Schizosaccharomyces pombe: one gene and its partners. The gene in region 1 interacts genetically with each later gene. Each region holds a gene or a part of one and is shown in the gene's direction. Other genes may lie near its edges.

What was found. Genes that interact genetically often act in the same process or in processes that back each other up.
Region 2: mutations in tim18 (region 1) and trk2 together harm fitness less than expected from each alone (positive genetic interaction), as found in Schizosaccharomyces pombe (one large-scale study listed by BioGRID).
Region 3: mutations in tim18 (region 1) and meu13 together harm fitness more than expected from each alone (negative genetic interaction), as found in Schizosaccharomyces pombe (one large-scale study listed by BioGRID).

Annotation. Positions count from the first base shown.
Region 1 is NC_003423.3:2,031,719-2,038,676, forward strand, and holds tim18 (TIM22 inner membrane protein import complex and succinate dehydrogenase (SDH) anchor subunit Tim18), read left to right. Parts: upstream 1-4,341; 5' UTR 4,342-4,381; coding exon 4,382-4,861; downstream 4,862-6,958. Other genes in the region: MPP complex beta subunit Qcr1, read right to left, coding at 1,752-3,125; SPOM_SPBC29A3.21 (uncharacterized protein), read left to right, coding at 5,374-5,676; Cu(2+) transporting ATPase Ccc2, read left to right, coding at 6,269-6,958. UniProt on the Schizosaccharomyces pombe protein: Membrane-anchoring subunit of succinate dehydrogenase (SDH) that is involved in complex II of the mitochondrial electron transport chain and is responsible for transferring electrons from succinate to ubiquinone (coenzyme Q).
Region 2 is NC_003424.3:255,381-263,174, reverse strand, and holds trk2 (plasma membrane potassium ion transmembrane transporter Trk2), read left to right. Parts: upstream 1-3,679; 5' UTR 3,680-3,713; coding exon 3,714-3,819; exon of another isoform or gene 3,820-3,859; coding exon 3,860-4,014; intron 4,015-4,054; coding exon 4,055-4,955; intron 4,956-4,990; coding exon 4,991-5,946; intron 5,947-5,993; coding exon 5,994-5,996; intron 5,997-6,039; coding exon 6,040-6,059; intron 6,060-6,104; coding exon 6,105-6,120; intron 6,121-6,165; coding exon 6,166-6,378; exon of another isoform or gene 6,379-6,424; coding exon 6,425-6,491; exon of another isoform or gene 6,492-6,562; coding exon 6,563-6,633; exon of another isoform or gene 6,634-6,729; coding exon 6,730-6,748; exon of another isoform or gene 6,749-6,804; coding exon 6,805-6,830; exon of another isoform or gene 6,831-7,040; coding exon 7,041-7,145; 3' UTR 7,146-7,294; downstream 7,295-7,794. Other genes in the region: phosphatidylinositol kinase-like protein Tra2, read right to left, coding at 1-3,331, 3,393-3,456.
Region 3 is NC_003424.3:973,976-979,137, forward strand, and holds meu13 (homologous-pairing protein 2), read left to right. Parts: upstream 1-3,733; coding exon 3,734-3,782; intron 3,783-3,828; coding exon 3,829-3,882; intron 3,883-3,929; coding exon 3,930-4,031; intron 4,032-4,073; coding exon 4,074-4,214; intron 4,215-4,302; exon of another isoform or gene 4,303-4,357; coding exon 4,358-4,662; downstream 4,663-5,162. Other genes in the region: GTP-binding protein Sey1, read right to left, coding at 192-2,162, 2,270-2,355, 2,414-2,488, 2,602-2,758; SPOM_SPAC222.18 (Srp1 family splicing factor), read left to right, coding at 4,928-5,046, 5,145-5,162. UniProt on the Schizosaccharomyces pombe protein: Required for proper homologous pairing and efficient cross-over and intragenic recombination during meiosis. Acts indirectly in a process facilitating homologous recombination. Acts during mid- to late-horse-tail period.

The DNA of each region.
Region 1 (6,958 bases):
TTTCAAACAAAAAAAAGGTCTTTAGTACATTAATTTATCAGGTTAAATGAGCCAATATAAAGCTGTTTAATTAACCACAGATTTTTTTTTGATTTTACTTGCTGGTCCTGTTATTCGTGTTTATCAAACTACGCAATTATTTAGATTGTTTTTATGATAATTTGTTAATTTCATTTAATTCAAATCGAATAACGAACCATTTGTTTTTCATTGAATCTTTACATATGTTTACTACATAGTGAATATATTTATAGTCTAGAAACAGTCTTCTTCTGAGTGGAATTATCTATCCTTTAAAATTCATGTTACTAATACAAATATAGTATAACTAAAGTTCCGAAATACTTGATGATTCAGAATAACTGGTATTAAGACAAAAGTAATGACTAGGTTTAAAGCATAGAAGATATATATGTTTAAAATATATCTACAGACATCCAAGGTCGGGTAGCATAGTTGGTTATTGCGCACGACTGTTAATCGTGAGGTCGAGGGTTCGAGTCCCTCCCTGACCGGATATATTTTTGTGTAAATATATTTTGTATATACACAGTTAAACGAGTACTACCAGTTATTTTATTATTGTGCTCATTGAAAATTCTTTCAAAAATCATGTTGAAGCTTTTAACAAAATTTAAAATACCTCTTATCTTTTCTTACACTATATATCTTGTTAAATTTTTTGACAAACGTCTACGGCCATACCTAGGCGAAAACACCAGTTCCCGTCCGATCACTGCAGTTAAGCGTCTGAGGGCCTCGTTAGTACTATGGTTGGAGACAACATGGGAATCCGGGGTGCTGTAGGCTTTTTGCCATATATGTTTTGGTTTCCACTATCGTGCGAACGATTTCAATAAACAAACATTCGTGTTTTTTTCGCTTATGCAAATGGAAAATGTTCATACCAATTTTTAACTCCATAAAAGCCGATATTCCTTACAGAAGATTAACCCGATAAACCCTCGCAGTGATTGAATGAATTGAACGGAATGCTCGACGATTATTCGCAAAAATCTATTTTTATAAAATAAAACTACATAACTACATTATCAAGTCGACTTACTACTACATGAATTTTAACGCAAGTTGCTAATTACGAGCAAGCGCCCAAGAAAAAAGGTACAAAAAAGGAAGAATGAATTCAGATTAACTCTGTAACATTCAAAGTTATGTCGATAAATTTTACAACACGAACGAATCCGTTTCATTTGTAAACATGGGTAGGTTAGTAAGCGGTTTCCGCTAAATCAGCGATAAAGTGAATAGTTGCTAGAAAGAAAGCAAGAAAGTAAAAGAGATTTTCAAGAGACTGCTAAATGAGAAGGGAGATAGAAAAATAAGATGACAAGGAATATCACGGGAGGATAAATTGCAAGCAAAAATGAATGCAAAGGCAGTATAAGAAGTGTCCGAGCAATACACCTTGACAGATAATAAATGAGAGAAAAGTTTAACTCTGAAGAAAGGGGGTTTTCAAAGGTGATGCAGTAAGCAACCGACTTTGCACTATAAACAACTCTGGTATGCTCTCATCTACTGAAATGATATTACTTGTGTGCAAACAGCTTCATATCCAACCGGTGATAGTACTGATCAACACGTAAACAACGTATATTGGTGAATTCAGCTCATATATCTGAAGAGAGCGAAGAGGCAGACGAAATCATAAAGGCGTTAACAAACAATAGCAAAGGATGAGCCTTAAGATTAAATAATAGACAATAGTCAAAAGTCCCAAGAAAATGCGTTTACCAACGGTTCATAGAAATACTGCTACGAATACGGTTGTAGTCCAACAAACCCTCAATGGAACCAACAGCAGAAACAGCAATGTCCTTGTCCCAAATCATCTCGGAAGCAACGCGGGCTACATCTTTTTCAGTGATTTGACCGATACGGAGATCAACCTCTTGAGGGCTCATACGACGACCAGTTGTAAGCAATTGGCGACCAATGTCCTCTGCAATGGCGGTCGTTGAATCCAAAGAAAGTAAAAGCGAAGCACGGAGTTGTGCCTTGGCACGTTCAACCTCAGCACGAGTTGCAACGGTTAAACGAGCCCAGTTTTGGAGGGTAAAGTGGACGAGATCATCAATACGGCCAAGGTTCTCAGTGACAAGATAAATACCCCAAAGTCCAGTATCACTATAACTAGTACTGAAACTCATGAAGCTATTGGCAAGTTGATGTTGTTGAACAATAGTACTAAGACGAGAAGACAAATGGGGAGATGCTCCCATAGCACGGTCCCAGTTACCAATGATGGCTTGCATGACTAATGCAGTAAAGTAATCTGGGTGTTTCCAACTCATACCTTCAACAGCAATGGCAATGTTGGCAGTTGGTGAATCATCGTCACGAGCACGGATTTCAGACCCGACGAAACGAGGTTTGAGTCCACGAGGAGCACCAAGCGACAATTGCTCAGCTGAAGGCTCCAAATGGCCAAAATATTTTTCGGCGAGCTTTACAAGCTCCTCATGAGATATCGAACCGGCAGAAGAGATAATCATTCTATCACTACGGTAGTTGTCCTTAATATACTGGAGAAGGTCCTCACGGGTAAGAGATTCGATGTTTTCCTTAGGACCCAAAATTGTACGTCCAAGAGGATGACCCTGATAAGCGGTAGCATGTAAATGATCAAAGACTACTTCATCGGCCATTTTGTCAACCTCTTCTTGCTCTCTTAAGATGACTTGGCGTTCACGCTCAACCGCCGAGGCAGAAATGCTTGAATTTGTCAGGATATCGGCCAAAACGGCAACTGCATTAGGTACAGCGTTTTTGAACGCATGTGCATAATAAACGGTTTGTTCACGAGAGGTGTATGCGTTCAAATGTGCACCAGTATTTTCAAATTCCAATTCCAATGCTTTTTGGGAGCGATTTTTCGTTCCTTTGAACGCCAAATGTTCCAAAAAGTGAGCAGCGCCATTATTTTTTGCCGTCTCAGCTCTTGAGCCAGCATCAACGCCCACAAGGACGGTCGCTGTTTGGGCATACGGATGATGTTCCGTAGCAACTGTAAGCCCATTTTTTAAAGTAGTGGTTTCTGTTTTTGGTAAAGCAGTAGTCGCAAAACGACGTACTAGCTTTGGCAAATTCTGAAGCCTCAGCATAGTAATATCAATTCAAGCTCCTTTGGTTGGGTGGGATTCTGTGGATGGTAAAGGGTAAGTAGGTAGCAAGAAGGTATTCCGTAGAGGTGTAGCGTAATACGTGTTATCGAGGTCCCAAGTTCGAATTTCGGCAAATGACCAATTGATCCCATTTAATAAAAAAAGAAAACTAGCAATCCTTGAATCCCTTACTAGAATTTCCATGTAGAGAAAAATAAGAAGTTGACCATTCAAACAGAAACTTTCGGATTGCCTAGTCTTTGCCCTGTGCGCAATTTGCTATAAAGGAAGGAAACGAATGACCGTACAATCCAGTTCATGATATAATATATCTCTACTTAACATGGAGAATCTCATTGGTAAAAAACTATGTAGGGGATATATTGTTTCATCGGTATATTGAAAAGAATCTATATGACATTGAATCAGACAGGGTAAGACACTTCATCAGGTTAAGTTCGTATTCATCTACATTAAAAGGTTATTTATACTTAACGAAATTCTCTTTTCCATGATTTCCATTACAATATTTCGGTTAATACATTTTTAAAAAAATAACAGTCCAACTATAGAATTTTGACTAGCACCGAATCAAGCATTGTTATACATCGACTATTGAGTAGCTTGATGGTTTCTTTTTATGAGAATAGTTTTTTATATAAATGATATTAATTTAAATAAAATTTTCATCCTCTTAAAACCGTTTCTCTAACCTTTTTTTAAGCCAATGCAGCACCTTTATATTAGCATAATTGCTACAAGTAAATTTCTATAGCTTTATCTATATTATATTATTAAGTAAAAAGATTTACAGTAGATTATTGTTTTTTCACAATGTAGTGCTTTCCGTAAAATTTTTTTTGAAACTGCAGTAACTTTTGGTACTGTGTAATATTATAATAGATATTCAAACTCACCACAAAACCCATGTAATATTATATGTAGAAGGTAATTCGTTTTCAGCAGTGAATAATATTATTATAAAAAGTAATAACCAGGTTTTGAAACGACCTTAAAGACCGGAGATTCTTCTGAATAAACTTATTAATCTATTATATCTATTTAAATTTCTAGTCTTTACTCTATGTTATACAATTTTTCGTTTATGAGTAGATAGATTTAGGTTCTCATCGCCTATTTCCGGCCACTCCAAGCTCAACACATCGAGCTGTTGAATGGCCAATAATGTGGACACAAGATCCGCCAATACGAACTCACCTACTACCACCACCAGCTTTTCTTGGTTTACAAACAATATGTTACAAACACGTTTAGGACTTGGAGCACTTCGTCAAGGACGTCTTCTTTTTGCAGTTAAATCTTTTAGCACAACCAGTGTTGCGAAAATTTTCCCTCCTCCCCCTCAGACCATTAAGGGAACTGTTAATGATGCTGCTGTTTTCCCTCACCACAGTAAGCTCCACGGAAGCTATCATTGGGACTTTGAAAGAATTATTGCTATTGCCATGGTTCCTCAAGTCATGATCCCTTTGTTCACCGGAACTTCTCATCCCTTAATGGACGCTGCATTGGCTTGCACCTTGATTACGCATGCCCACTTGGGGTTTGAATCTTGTGTGATTGACTACTTCCCTGCAAGAAGATTTAAGAAGTTATCTCCTTTGATGCACTGGATCTTACGTGGATGTACTGTTCTTACACTTATTGGCGTCTATGAGTTCAACACGAATGATATTGGCCTTACGGAGGGTATTAAAAAGCTTTGGAAATCTTAAGCTTCTTTCCATGCAAACCCATATAACCCCACTTATTTTTTCATAATGATTATTCCTTTCCTTTTTCTTTTTTATTCTCCTTAATCCGTCATCTAGTAAGTTTTGGGCTTGAAACTTACCAGTTCAAACCCCAAAACTGCCAATTGATATTCTGCAGTTGATCTTTGCTCTTTTCTTGATTTCTGGCTTGATTGATCCTCTCAATTTATCTGTGTAAATCTGTTTAGCGCTTGCACAGTATGTTTATGTTTACCTTCAACGATAATTTTTCTAGTGGGAGTGGTTAGAAGACTATTCAAGTTTGTGGCAGCTCTTGTTAAGGTCCTTATGTCGACTTGAATTAATAATTCTTCCAAGACAAAATCCATTGAATTATTTTATTGGGTGTCCCATTTATTATTTATCGTTTAGAATGGGTCAACAATTTACCCATGTACGCTTCGTTCCCTTATTCTTTGATAAGGTATTAGAAGACATGCTCTAACGTTTACCGTTTTAATCTCATTTATCGAATGTTGCGTTACAATTTTCGATATTTACATAACGTTCTTAGCCATACTGTTGTATTTTGCTTTACCGAAGTGTCTTTACACATTGTTAAGCAATTGGGAGTGGAATCATATGCTTGCACTGTGCATGCGTCTCGGTTCCAAAAGTCGTACTCTGCTTCGATCGATTATTGTCAAAGATTTTTATTCTCCTCGAATTTAAAACATAATTATGTCAATTTGAATATTATTTTTACAAGTTGTATATTTCGTAGTTTGCGCGAGTTTTTGCGGTTTTATATCGCTGCCATCATGTGCTTTTTGTAATCTACCACACACTCACTAACACTTTGTTAACAAGTTCAGCTGATAATTTGCTCTTCTTCTGTAGTCTGTTGAAGTTGAATTCGTTTTGTTTTGTATTTTTTTCTAAATCGTTTTGTGGTGAAAATCACGATACAATAAGCGAATTCGAATTCTGAATTCGTGGTATCCCAACCTAAAACAGCTAACTGCTAAGCGTGTAAAAAGACTTTATTAGCTGGCTTTGTTTAACATTGGTATCGTTTTTGTTATTTTTCTTTTCCTTCCAAAGTTTTGTATGTTGATTTTCTTTTGTTGATCATCGGCTTGTCTCTTTTTGCTGTTGACTTACATTAAGTAATTGGTTTTAATCGTCAAATTTTGATTATTTCTTCACTTGAGGGGGTTTCTTTTTTTTTTTACGTCTCTTGTCTTTGATTTGGGTTCCTTACTATTATCTATTTATTTCGACATTTCCAACATTTATCGTTTCTATACAGTAACTCGCTTCTCTTAATTTTCCTTATTTAATCTCTAATTGGCTTGTACTATTTCTTTTTCGTTATTTCTTTTTATAATTTAGATTGCCTTTAAAAATTTTGTTTAGTTTCTTAAAATGTATACTACTACACTTTCAGTCCAGGGTATGACATGCACCAGTTGTGTGGCCTCTATCCAATCCATGTTGGAAGGAGTGGAAGGAATTGAACAATTCACTATATCGTTGCTTCTTGAGCGTGCTATTGCCGTTCATGATCCTAGCATTATCTCACCGGATCAGATCGCTGAGAAAATTGAAGATTGTGGATTTGATGCGTCTGTGATTTCTTCAACAGAGGGTGAACATGGTGTCATGGCTAATTATTTATTACTTTCTCCTATGCAGGCGGAACAATGGACCAAAGTACATAATCATATCAATGAACTGCAAGGCGTTTTGTCCGTCAATTGCTCTTCCTCCCCGGATGCAGCTATACGTGTCATTTATGATTCTGAGATTACTGGCCCTCGTTCCATCATGAAGGAAATATTATCTATGGGTGTCAAATGTACATTTCAACCAGTAGATTCCTCCACCTCTCGTATTCTGTCACTTCAACGAGGGAGTCAAATTAGAGTATGGAAAATCCGATTTATTATTTCAATATCATTCTCTTTGGCGGTGATGTTTTTACCCCAGATATTCGATTCTTGTGATTCCATGCGTGCTGCTTTTTTGGTCCCCCATTATTTTGGTATATGTGCTGGCCACATCATCAGCCTAGTATTATCCCTTCCCGTCCAGTTTGGTGTTGGAAGGGTCTAC
Region 2 (7,794 bases), on another chromosome or scaffold:
AATCCAAAACAGCCTCCGTATTTTTTATACCAATGAGGGTCATAACATTTGTGCCGGAAATCAGATAATAAGACCTCAAAAATTGGAAGGATAAAAGCCCTTTCTGGATTTTCAAAAATCGATTCTAAAAAACTAAACATAAATTTAAGTACATGTTTCACAGCATCACCCATCTTGCTATTGTCATTACAAACGACTTCTGATAGACAATGAGCAAAATAATGAGGACTAATAATAACCTCCTTTTGCAAATTAGTCGTAAATTTTGAATGATTTCCTTGAATAACGTCAAAAGCATAAAAAATATCGTGTACAATTACGTTGACCGCCAGTTTTTCAAGCCAGAAGTAAGCTTCTTCGCGGAGTTCATCAACCGTCGTAGCAAAAAAAAGTCCATATGTAGCCGAGGCCAAAATTATGGTTTCATCTGAATCATCACTCAGTTGGGTGAATGAACTCCTTCCAGTCATTCGGCTCGGTATTACAGAATATGGTCGTCGAAAATCAAAATTACTCTTAGAAATCTTGTCTGCAGTACATCGAATGGATGAGGCTAAGCTGTTAGTAGCGTCACTCTTATAAACATAGAGCTTTGAAATATTGCAAACATAAGTGAACGCTTGTTGCTTAACCTCCAGATCACTAGAAGGGCTAGAAAGCAAATTCACAGCCTCATCAACATATTGGGTGTAATGTAAAAGTTGTGGTTGTTTAACCCCTTTTATCGAAAGAAGTAAAGTAAAATCGTTATTCGGTTCCGGCGAATTCTTTAAACTCTGGACTCTATCAAGAAGCTTCCTATTTCTTCCACCAAGTTTACCAAGTATTTTCAAGGCAGTATGGCTGTGATTATAATTATAAGGAAGAGGTTGTAGATGACTCCATAAAGCATTCATTAGATCTTCTATGTAAGGAGCCATTATCGGATCCAAAAAATCAGGAGTGAGATTATCCAAGCATAATTCAAAGGTTCGTAATCCCTGACTAACTAATTCTTGACTGCTTTTTAAAGACATGACGAGAGGTCTCATTAGATAACTCATGTATGGTAATAAAAGACTAAGCCTTACAGGAATAGTAAGACAAAGTTCGGTAAAAAGGTCTTTCTCCTTCGGAGTACGGGCAGATATAAGCAATGAATTAAATGCCTCTAATAGAGCGTGCAACAAAGGCATTACTTCTTTATAAAGGCTTTCAAATCTTCCCCCACCAATTCCTCGGAACAACGCTCTTAATAGATAATAGTAGTTCAATGAATTAGCAGAATTGGGAGCCAACTTCATACATTTCACAATAATTTCAGATACATAAGGCCGAAGAACTGGCTCATTCTCTGTTGCAAACATTGAGACTGTAACGAAAGAAAGACGAAACAAACGCAACAAGACAGAACCATGCCTGATGTCAGAAGATCCGAGTTCCTCAATTCTGGAAAGCAGAAATCGAAGTAAAATATTTAAAAATTTTGATGATGTGCTCTCATTTGAAAGCAAAAACTGTGGAATGTGAAATAATGTGAGATTTTTTTTAAGTTGATCAAAAAAAGTAGGAAGGTTTGTTTCAAAAACTTTAAGAAATATAGATGGCTCGAGATGTATAAAAATGGTAGCAAATACTTCAAGACAATCTTTCTCGTCTTTGTTACGAGGAAGCGTAGATATAGCAGGGCGATCTAAACTTTCTTCTTCGCAGCAGAAAAAAGTTTCTAAATAGACTTGCTCAGGTCGAAAATATGAGAATCCTTTGCCAACCTCAAAAAAAAGCTTCTGAAACGTAACAGCTTCGAAAGGCTTGATATTCGTAAGGAATCCCGAAAATTGTTCACCTCCAATTTCTATGCATCGAGACTTGCATGTACGAAGCCCATACATAAGAGCCCGTAAGCCAAACATCAAGTTTTTAAAAAGAAATGATCCATCATTGACGGAAGTGCTAAATGAAGATAAATCCCTAGGAGAAGAACGCGTCGGTGACTTTGTCTCTTTAATTTCTTCTTCATACTTTTTCTTAAAAAACTGATCCAAACTATCATTAAGTTCCGAAAACTTATTTACAAAGCTATCAAAAATAGATAAAAGAAGAAATATAGCATCGGGGATGCTAGGAAGACTAATCATTCTGTCAACCATGTTTAAAATGAGCCGGGCACCCATAGTCTGTAACCCAATGCTAAGAGTCAAATCATGCATATTGGTCGAATAAATCATTATAGATTTTCTTATTTGCGTTTCGTTAAGTTCGTCACGTACATGATGAAGTAAGTCAGCTAATGTACTAAATGCCAAGGGACGTAACAGCTTTTGAGTACCAACTCCATTTCCTAATAATATATTTAAATCTAACAAAAAATCCAGCTTTTTGACAAAAAGAGATTTTAAGTTTGTTGACAGAATATGTCTCGTAGCAACCAGCAGTTCTTTACGGGCAAAACACATATCAAAAGGGCATCGCCTCAAAAGCTTTATTACAATGTCCGGTATTATATCCTTCTCAGAAAGTGTATTGGGATGAGTTCGTAAAATATAAGCCAAGAAAGATAAAGTCTTTACTTGAGCCATAAAAAAATTACGGTACTGATATTTATTCCTTATAAACTCAATAAAGTCAATGCTTGAATCTTTTTCAATCATTGCATATGAAGCGATGTCTATTGGAACATCAATTTGTACCATCTTAAGAAAACAGGGAATTATGGCTTGAACACCAGGGAAAGCAGCTTGACGATATGCTTGAAGAATCAAAACTATAATGACCGGACACTCTACATACACGCGGAAACTTTGAGAAGCCAGTTCCAAAGGTTGAGTAGAAATAGCTAAAGAATTGACACGCTGTTGGATGATTGAAGTTTCCGTAGACAGATAACTACCAAAAGCCAGGGTTGTATTTTCCTCTTCATTTGATTTTGGATTCTCGACAAATATTGAGGGAATTAAATAAGGAAGGTTTGTAGAAAGCTCAAGTACCAAGTCAAAAAAGGGTTGTGCAGTGCTTTCTATACAAAACTTAAAAGTTTTGAATATATCCATAATAACTTTTAAGCAAAAAACAGCGACTTCTTCATTATCTGCTTTAATCAAGCTAATGAACGAAAGCACACAAGACTGCGCATATTGTTTAAATTCATCACGGTGAGCGCAACTTTGTATTAAAGTCAATGCTTCGATCTTGAGTTCATTGACAGAAGAATTTCTATAAAGATTCACCTCTGTATTTCGTAAAAAATCCAAGAGTAGTGGAATTAATTCTGCATACAGCTGCGAGGCGTCTGAAGATATGCTAGAAACCTTAGTAATTAAAATTTTAGTTAGTTTGATTTTTTCTTCTATTTCTTAAAAAAAGTTAGTATAAAATAAAAAAATGAATCAAAATATCTACAAAAATTTATATACCTGTACTTTCAGCTTTCAGTAGCTCTATAGAGCTGCTGAGCGACTTTTCAAAACCGTCTTCCATAACAAAGTTCGGTCCATGCAGATACTTTTTAATAAATCTTTGAAACCAAACTTGATACACTACGAGATTTTGGACACAGCTGTAAAAAAGCACAGAACGATTACTGTCAGATGTTGTTTAGTTGTTGCTATGTTCAAGGTGAATCGTATAGTGAGGACGCAAAACTGCACTATTCAAGAAGCCACTGAAGCTATTTGAAATCGACGTGAGTGTAATTTTTATCAAATACAATATAATACTGCTTTATAAACTATGACATGTTTGTACGATATAGAAGGTTTTTAAGAAGGAAAATATTATACAGATTTTATCATGCAGTTATCGGGTTTTTCTACAAACGGTTCCGGTTCCTTGAATACCATTGTATGTGAAAAACTTCTTTTCAAGCCTAACTTTGTTCAAGATTCTTTTATAATAGGAATGACTATTTTATGTTCAGTAATATTGTATGGGTCGGGAAATTTGCGCTACATAGATGCTTTGTTGTTGGCTTCTGGTTCTTGTACTCAGACTGGCTTGCAGCCTGTGGACCTCACGCAGATATCCATTTACCAACAGGTATGCATATTTTTAAATAAATTTTTTAACTATTTTTTAGTTAACTATTCTCCTTTTTGGAGTTTTGAGTACACCAATTACTGTGAACCTGGGCTTGACTTTGTTTAAGCTGTACTTCTATAACAAGCGATATGACATGGTCATAACAAATAATAAACTTAGGATGACATATACTTATCACACTGTAAGAAGAAGGGATACTCCAGAGCCTTCCAAAGTTGGCAATCGAAAAATTCGGGTTTTGTTAGACCAGGGTAATCAAATGCACCGGCCAGTTGCCCCAGAGACTAAGGCTGAGGAAGCTGAACACCAAGAGAATGAAAAACATCACAGGCACCATTTTCGTCTAAGGAAATTTGCTAATGCAATCGATCGCCCAAGCTTCTTTCGCGGGAATACCATGCCCGCTCTCCCTAGTTATGCAGGTGTTAGAAATTCTCAAGAAAATGAAGACAGAACTGAAGCATTAAGTCCAGCTCTTGGGAAACGAAGAATGGCATCAATCGACAATGGATCTTTATCCGTTGTACAAAACAATGCTAGAAATAATCCTGTCGACTTTTACATTCCTAGTTCGTTTGAAGAATCATCTTTTCAAACAATTCCTGAGGATTTTGAGCCTCAAGTACATGACCACGAGAATCAAACACAACTGAACCATCATCTGGATAACAACAGTTCTATCTCTTCGCACAATCCTTCCCTAGAAACTGCAAATGATGGTAATCAGGAAACTGTTTCATCCTCAAACTCAAACTACAGCACAACAAGAGTTGACAATGATCCACATGTAGCATCTTATTCACCTCAAAATTCGAATTTTGATCATCAGGCTGCTGCAACTACTAACGATGCACATCAAAATGTAGTACGCGGCTCTGCAATTACCATTGCACCAACCCCTGTTCCCAGGCATAATCGCAGGCCTATATATTTTGCTGGTAAGTCATTCCGTGATTTTAATATTGACCTTTAGATGACACGAATGGAGCTGAGCAGGAAAAAGGTGCTCATCGACTTGATGGACGAGGTAGAAAACGTGGTAAATCATTTGCTGTTACACCTACACTTCACAGGAATGAGCGCTCAATGTCTGTCCTACCATTTCAATTAGCCAAATCATTTACATCTGCTCTTCCTCGAAGACTCACATTCAACCGTACTCACACGAAAGCTAGCACAATGAGTTTACCTTATTTATCGTACAATGCAACAGTGGGCAGAAATTCTGCATTTTATGCCTTAACTCCAGTGGAGAGAGAAGAATTGGCGGGAATTGAATATGAATCTCTCAGGATATTGACTGTCATATTAGTGGTTTATTTTCTGTTTTGGCATATTCTTGGTTTGGTTGCGTTCCTAATATTCATTTATACTGCTAAAACATCCGGTCGTGTAGTTACGGACGGCGGTATAAATAGAGGCTGGTGGGCAGCGTTTACTTCTAGTTCGCTGTTTGATAATCTAGGCTATTCGTTGAACAGCGATTCTTTAAATTCCTTTCAAAAAGCCATATTTCCTCAGGTTCTTGGAACTATTCTGATATTTTTAGGGAATACTTTCTTTCCAATTATGCTCCGGTTTATAATTTGGATTATGATACGAACAACGAGATTTTCGCCTAATTTCCAGCAAGCTTTGTACTTTCTTTTCGAACACCCTCGACGAAGTTTTACTCTTCTGTTTCCTTCAAAAACTACTTGGGTGCTTTTTTTAAATTTAACTTTATTGAATTTTGCTTCCTTTTTCTTTTTTATGGTTTTAGACTTGGGTAATTCATATGTTGACAAAATTCCAGTTGGTTATCGAATTATGAATGCTATATTTCAAAACGCAGCTACACGTTCTGCTGGCTTTACGGTGGTTGATTTAAGCCAAATTGCTCCGGCAGTAATGGTGACCTACATGTTTATGATGTATATCTCTGCCTATGTAAGTATATTTCGATTTAAAGAGTTTTATGCTAACGTTTAATTTAGCCAGTAAGGACTTGCATGAACAAGCAAAATACTGACTGATCATTAGATCGCAATGAGTATTCGACAGTACGTTTACTTTATTATATAATTGATATACTAACAATGGACTAGAACTAATGTTTACGAGGTAAATGCGAAACTTTAGTAGACTTTAAACTAAATAGCTTTTTAGGAACGTTCTCTTGGAATATATGCAGCAGACACCGAAAATGATGATGATAATAATATTAATAATAATAATAATGATAATAATACGCCGAAAAGGAAAAATTTTTTGATGGACCATATACAAAGGCAACTGAGTCACGATTTGTGGTATTTATTCCTAGGCTACTTCATAATTACTATAGTCGAAGGTCGTCGATTAGAGTCGGAAGCGGAACCGGTACGTTGAAAGTGCTAAGCAAATAACTTATTAATTAACGGAATAGCAATTTACGCTTTTTGCTATTTTATTCGAGGTGATTTCAGGCTATGGCACTGTGGGCCTAAGCTTAGGTATGTGCATGTTCGCTTGTTTTAAGTTATACAATTGTGGCTTTCCCATGTGCTGTATTAACTCATAAAAGGGTACAAAAATGATCCTTCGCTTACGGCTCAGTTTCGGAAAATTAGCAAACTTGTTATGGTTGCACTACAGGTACGTTAAATGTTTTGTGCTAAGAAGGTTAAGGTGCTACAACTATTTCCTTTTCTGGCTTTTTTGCAAAAATATCAGTGTCTAATAATGGTTTAGATTCGTGGACGACATAGAGGTGAGTCACTAAGATGTTATCAAGAGAGAAGGGTATTAACGATTTTAAAAAAACAGGACTTCCAAGTGCATTAGATAGAGCAGTAAGTTTGAACTAAACACGATTTAAAGGGTGTTAGCAGATGATTTTGAAATGTCATGAGATGTGCAGTTTTGATGTGTTCAAAAAATCCATTTAGCAATGACAAAACCTTATAATTGAGAAAGGTTTTTATTTTCATCGCAACACACCTTCTTTCTATAGTTAGAAGATACACTTAAAAATGAATCTACTAACGGTTTATTTACTTTAGGTGCTAATGCCTTCGGATAAAAACTTTGACCGGGAAGAAGAGGATTATATGAGACGTCACGGGAAAAAAAATACTAATAGAGCAGACCCGGTACCCAGTTCTTAATGATTATAACCTCACGGTTGATTAGACTTACTTTCTATGAAAATGCAAGGCAAGGTCAGGAGCTAATGAAACTTGTACTGTATCTTCTGGTTCTGTGCCATTTTAACTGATTGGGCCTTAAAAGAACTTTTTGTTTTATTTTATTTTACACTTTTGTTTGGTATGTACATTTACTTGTTTTCACTACATTCGTTAAAGTTTTCATGTTTAGAATTTGTGGTCAATAAGAAATTTGATCAATTTATTTGTAAATAGTTATTAGTGTAATCAAAGTATATTCGGGAAGAAATGAGGGTAATGCCCGCCTGCGGGAATTGTGACGAGCTCACAAAAAGTCACTGTACTGTAAAGTGTTTGTATTGTCGCATTGATTTTATAGTATGTTTGTAGGACAAGATTAGGGTGTAGTGTTTAATGCTTAAATCGATTTGGGATGATGCTTATATGTTTTTAATCGTTCAAACGCTACCCGATAATTATGAGATCGACGATTTGCGGGATGAAAAAAAATTCGGTAAATGACGAATATGAAATGAACGGTGGTGTTTGCCGACAGTTTCGGTAGCAAAAGCAAAGGGAATGAAAAAATAAAGCATTAAACGGATCAAAATGAAACACAGCTTTTCTTTTTTTTTATGTCGGACATGAA
Region 3 (5,162 bases), on another chromosome or scaffold:
AATTGTTCCAGGACAGTGACTTTTTACAGCAACTGAAAAGGAAGCAATAGTAAAATATCAGGTTAATAGGTTCATCATTGCTCAAACATTAGTCTATCAATCAGACAGTAACTTAATAAAAAAATCCAGTGAGCGATTTATACAGGTGAATTTTAAATGCCACAATTTCGTTATTCTTTATAGCAGACGAATCATGAAAGCGCAGTTTTTTCTGCTTCGGCGTCATCGGCTGATGCAACTGGTGAACCGCTTTTCTCGGTCCTCTGCATAGCTCTTTGTTGAACTTGCTCTTGATAAGTATTAGAAAATCTATCTGTAGCTAAATCAACCAGATTGTTAGTGGCCCGTTCCAAAACCATCTTCGCAGGCCAAATTAAGCCAGAAATATATAAACCATAAACCACAGTACCTCCAAACATAAGGATCATAAAAACGAATGGATTGCGGAGAATAGCCATAAATTCATTCCAACCAAGGACTATTAGCAATACCCAAAAGTATGGGGGGATTCTGGTGGTTGTATTGATTACGGAACGTTTGCAGTCCATAAATATCAAATCCGCAGATCTCTTGAAATTAACAGATATGTCGGACACACGTCTACGATTTAGAATAGTAAAAAATGAAGCTGGCGAGGTATACTCTGGCTCCAAAGTCTTTATGTCAACGTTCAAGTCCGGATAATTGCCATCCGAAACTTTAATAGAGGCCAAAACGTTGATCAAGTCTAACGTTTTGGTTAAACTTTCCCGATAATCACGGTCAATCGTTCCCGACTTCTTCCACAATTTTGGCATCCCATCACTGTCATATCGAAATAGTTCTTCAAAATAAACTCGTAAACGCTGCTGTAGTAAAACCTCGCTCATTTCAGAATCAATTTTCTTTCTAAAAAACAGCCAACTGTTCTTTTTAAAATTGATAATATATTCTTCCGTTGTTTTAGTATCATCAATATCCACATAAAAAGGAACAATATTTTTTATTTTTTCAATAGTAGTATTTTGAGCAGCTAAGAATTCATTGAGAAGCGTATCCCAAACGTTATGAGAAAGTTTTTGGAAAGCGACCTCAACAGCTTCCGAAACTTCAAACTCGAACCCAGTAAACAACTCTTCCAACTTCTCTTTCAACTTTTCCTTACAAAGCGTTTCGGAATTTTGGGTTAACTCTTCCGATAATTTTAGAATAAATGGATCAACATCCCAGTGAACATGTGGTAAAGACAAAGATTCACCTTCCTCACGCATTTTGTTGACAAGTTCGTTAATTTTAATAGAAGATGATTCTTTAAAAGGCGTATCAGAGGGAAATTCATTTGAGGCGTCAAAAAATGATTTAATAAGCTCCTTGTGTAGAGCGTTCAACTGGGCTTGGAAAAATACATAAAGATGAGAATCTACCGAAGCAATAAGCTCCTGCTTTTTCTTTTGATAGATATGCACGTTGTATCTACTAGCCTGTCGATCATAAGCTTCGATAACAGTTTCAAACATGTTTAAGAGCTTGGTAGGAAGGTCCTTGCATAAATTACCGGGTAAAAACTCTTTTTGTAAAATAGTACAAGCAGTAGAAAAAGGTTCCATTACTTCAGTAATAATCTCATCGCAACGATATTGAGCAAGCAATTGCTGTTGTGTAGGTAAATCAAGGTCCTTGTTGTTTTCAATGGTGTCCCATATCTCACGAGTATAAAGAGAAAAACCATCAGCGGGGATTTTTTTATGATAACTCACATTAAATATGTAATCAGAATTATTGTTATCCACAAATCTTTCACGCAAACTATCAACAGCTTCACTGAAAGCATCAGAACATAAAATCTTATGTGGTAAACCAGTGAAGCCAACATCAAAAAAGTCATTAATTACGGAATTTTCGAATCCTTCTGGTTTCGAAAGGGATGCCCAAATGTTATTCAAATCGGTCATAATAGTATCTGCTAAATTTTCCATTGAAGTATTTCCCAAAAAATCCCGAATAACAAATTGAAGCAAGCACCTTTCTTTTTTGTTATGAAAAAGTTGTAAATTGACTTCTAGTACTGTTTTAAGTAATGCCATGTTTGAGCCTTGGTATAGACCAACCTGATTTTCCCACATATTAACGATAATTACTTCACTAGTTGAAATGGAAAATAAAGCTGATTTTCTTTCAAAATCCTAGGTTGGTTAGTAATGACTCCAAAAGAAAATATTGATCAATTATGAGTAAAGGAAATACTAATGTGTAACTAATAGTAACAAATTAGTTCGCATTAAAATCTTACCTGATCTTCACCGCGCTCTCTACCATCGGTGCCTTCTACATCCATTACAAGAATAGGCGAATTGTTTGCCTTCGACAACCAAATACCTAACAAAAATTAGCAGCAAGCTCAGATGTTTTAATTAAAAAGAAATAATAGATTTACCTTTAGTAGTTTGTTGCCTTTTGGAAGCATCCATTACTGAAAATGAAGTCCCAAATAAATTATTTAGCAATGTACCTAATCATAGAGTTAATCAAATTTGCTCAGTGAAAGCTTTAAGTATCCAATTTAAAAGGATGTTATAACATTGGTTGGATATAGAACTCTCAAGTTGATTTTAATCTACTTACTCTTGCCAGTAGATTGGGAACCCAAAACGGCAACAACATGATAGTTGAAACCAGCATCTAACAGTCCTACGCTTTGCATAAACTTTGGTAATTCATTGTTGAATTGTTTATGTTCATCCACAATTTGTGTGGAAACCCTATTGGAAGCAGTACTCATGTTTTGGTGTAAGCGGAAGACAAGTTAACAAACATATAAGGTAGTGTGATGTCGAGGATGTAATATATCCTGACAACATTTTCAGTATTCATTAACAAATATATAACTATTTAAGTTAAATTATTGTAAAAAGACAGGTTTTGCATAATTTTGTTTATATAAATATCATGAAACAGATGATACTTTTCCTATAGTAAACTAGCAATGGCATAACAACACTCGTTAGCTCTTCCTTTCTAATGTTTACTAAGTTACTCTGCGAATGTTCAGATGTTTGTCTGTTAGCTCCATATATTTTCTTGTTAAAATTATGATTTTTAAAGAAAGAAAATACCAAGGATTTAGTTGAAGAAAGGAATGTATTTTAAAGAGTCATTCGGCCATTGTTTTGAATCTTTTCACAATGGTCTTCAAAGACTTATCGCATTTACAGACAGGAAATTTGTGCTTTTCTAAAAAGGAAACAGATTTGTATGTTTACAGAGAACAGTACTTAATAATAGGTATTAGATGCAAAATCAAGAGTGTAGCTTAAACGTTTCTCAAAAGCGCTTCGTAGTATTCGACGATATCGGTTTCATTCAATTTGTGAAGTGTTTTTGACGTTGCCGAATATGCTAAAAAAGTACAAACATACTATAATATAGCCCTTCGCAAGGTTGGAAATTATTTAATTTAATAAAATTTCTAGCATAGCTTTAGGAATCGAATTCTTTGTACTAATGTCTCACTATCCTATGCAACCTTCTTTCATTGACACGATGCGCAATTCAACCCATCGTTATGAGTACTTTATATAGGTGCGTAAAATAGTTAAAATCCTTTCTCATGGATTTTCTTCCTTAGTTTAGCTAAGAACAAAGGAGAATGGCTTGGGGAAAACGCGTTGTCTCCGCCACGCGTAAATATTATATATAAATGTTTGATGCTACATCGCGCTTTTACTATTTTCCTCACACATCGCAATTGTAGCAAATGGCTAAGGCGAAAGAAGTAAAAGCGAAACCTATTAAAGGAGAGGAAGGTATAATATTGACAAAAGGCATTGGTATTCAGCTAATCAATCGCAGCTGAAAAACTTGTTTACGAGTATTTACGAAAAACGAATCGTCCCTATTCTGCAAGTAAGAACATACATTAAAAAAATCGAAGCTGACAATTTTGTTAAAAGCTGACGTTAGTGCTAATTTGAAAAATGTTGTCAGTAAACAGGTCGCGCAGAAAGCATTGGAGCAGCTACGCGACACTGGACTAATCCATGGGAAACTATATGGTACTGAAAAATTAGTTAAACAGATTACTAACGATTACTGAGGAAAACAAAGTGTGTTCGTTTGTCTTCAAGATGACTTGGCAGCTGCTACTCCTGAAGAATTGGCTGAAATGGAGAAGCAAATTCAAGAACTAAAAGATGAGGTTTCAGTTGTTAAAACTCTATACAAAGAGAAATGCATTGGTCAGTAAATAAATGCTATTCTTTAAAATGTAGAATGATACTTCACATAATATGCATGATTTAAAACAGATCAAAGTTTTATTGATGGTATCGTTCATTTGTTTTGAGCGTACACAGCACTTGTTTTATGCTAACTCTAAAAGAATTACAAGCTTTAAATAACTCACTCAGTCCAGCCGAAATTCGTGAAAAAATTCAGAGCATTGATAAAGAAATTGAAGAAACCAGCTCAAAACTCGAATCTCTTCGAAATGGTACCGTTAAACAAATTTCCAAGGAAGCAATGCAAAAGACTGATAAAAACTACGATTTTGCAAAAAAAGGATTCTCAAACAGAAAGAAAATGTTTTATGATTTATGGCATTTAATTACTGATTCCTTGGAAAACCCTAAGCAGTTATGGGAAAAACTGGGATTTGAAACGGAGGGACCAATTGACTTAAACTAAAAACTTAACTTTAAATTTAGCTGATCCCTTTTTAACATTTTAATCATTAAATTTATATAGCTCAAAGAAAAGTCATTATCCATAGTTAAATATAAATACCTTAGCAGACAACTGCTCTAATATGTGCTTGCATTGCTGCACAACATTACCTGTCCTCTTGCTATACTGTGTGGTTATGACTAGTGCTTCTTACGTCGTGATAGCTTTGATTTTTTGGTTAAAGTAGAAAGCCTAGTGAAAGCATTAGATTTTGCAATTTAAGCTAATGTCTAATGCACCATCAAATACGCCAACAGGGTTTAATTATAAACCTGGGCATACTTTGTATATTCGAAATTTCGGAACGGATATGAGAGCCCGGACACTAGGCCAGGCCTTTGAAAAGTAATTGTTATTGAATGACTGATTGTAGATTACAACTTTGGTTTTCAGTCAAGTGATCTCTATTTTTGTATCGCATCTGTTCTAATTGATGATAATAGATGGGGTAGAATAGTTCG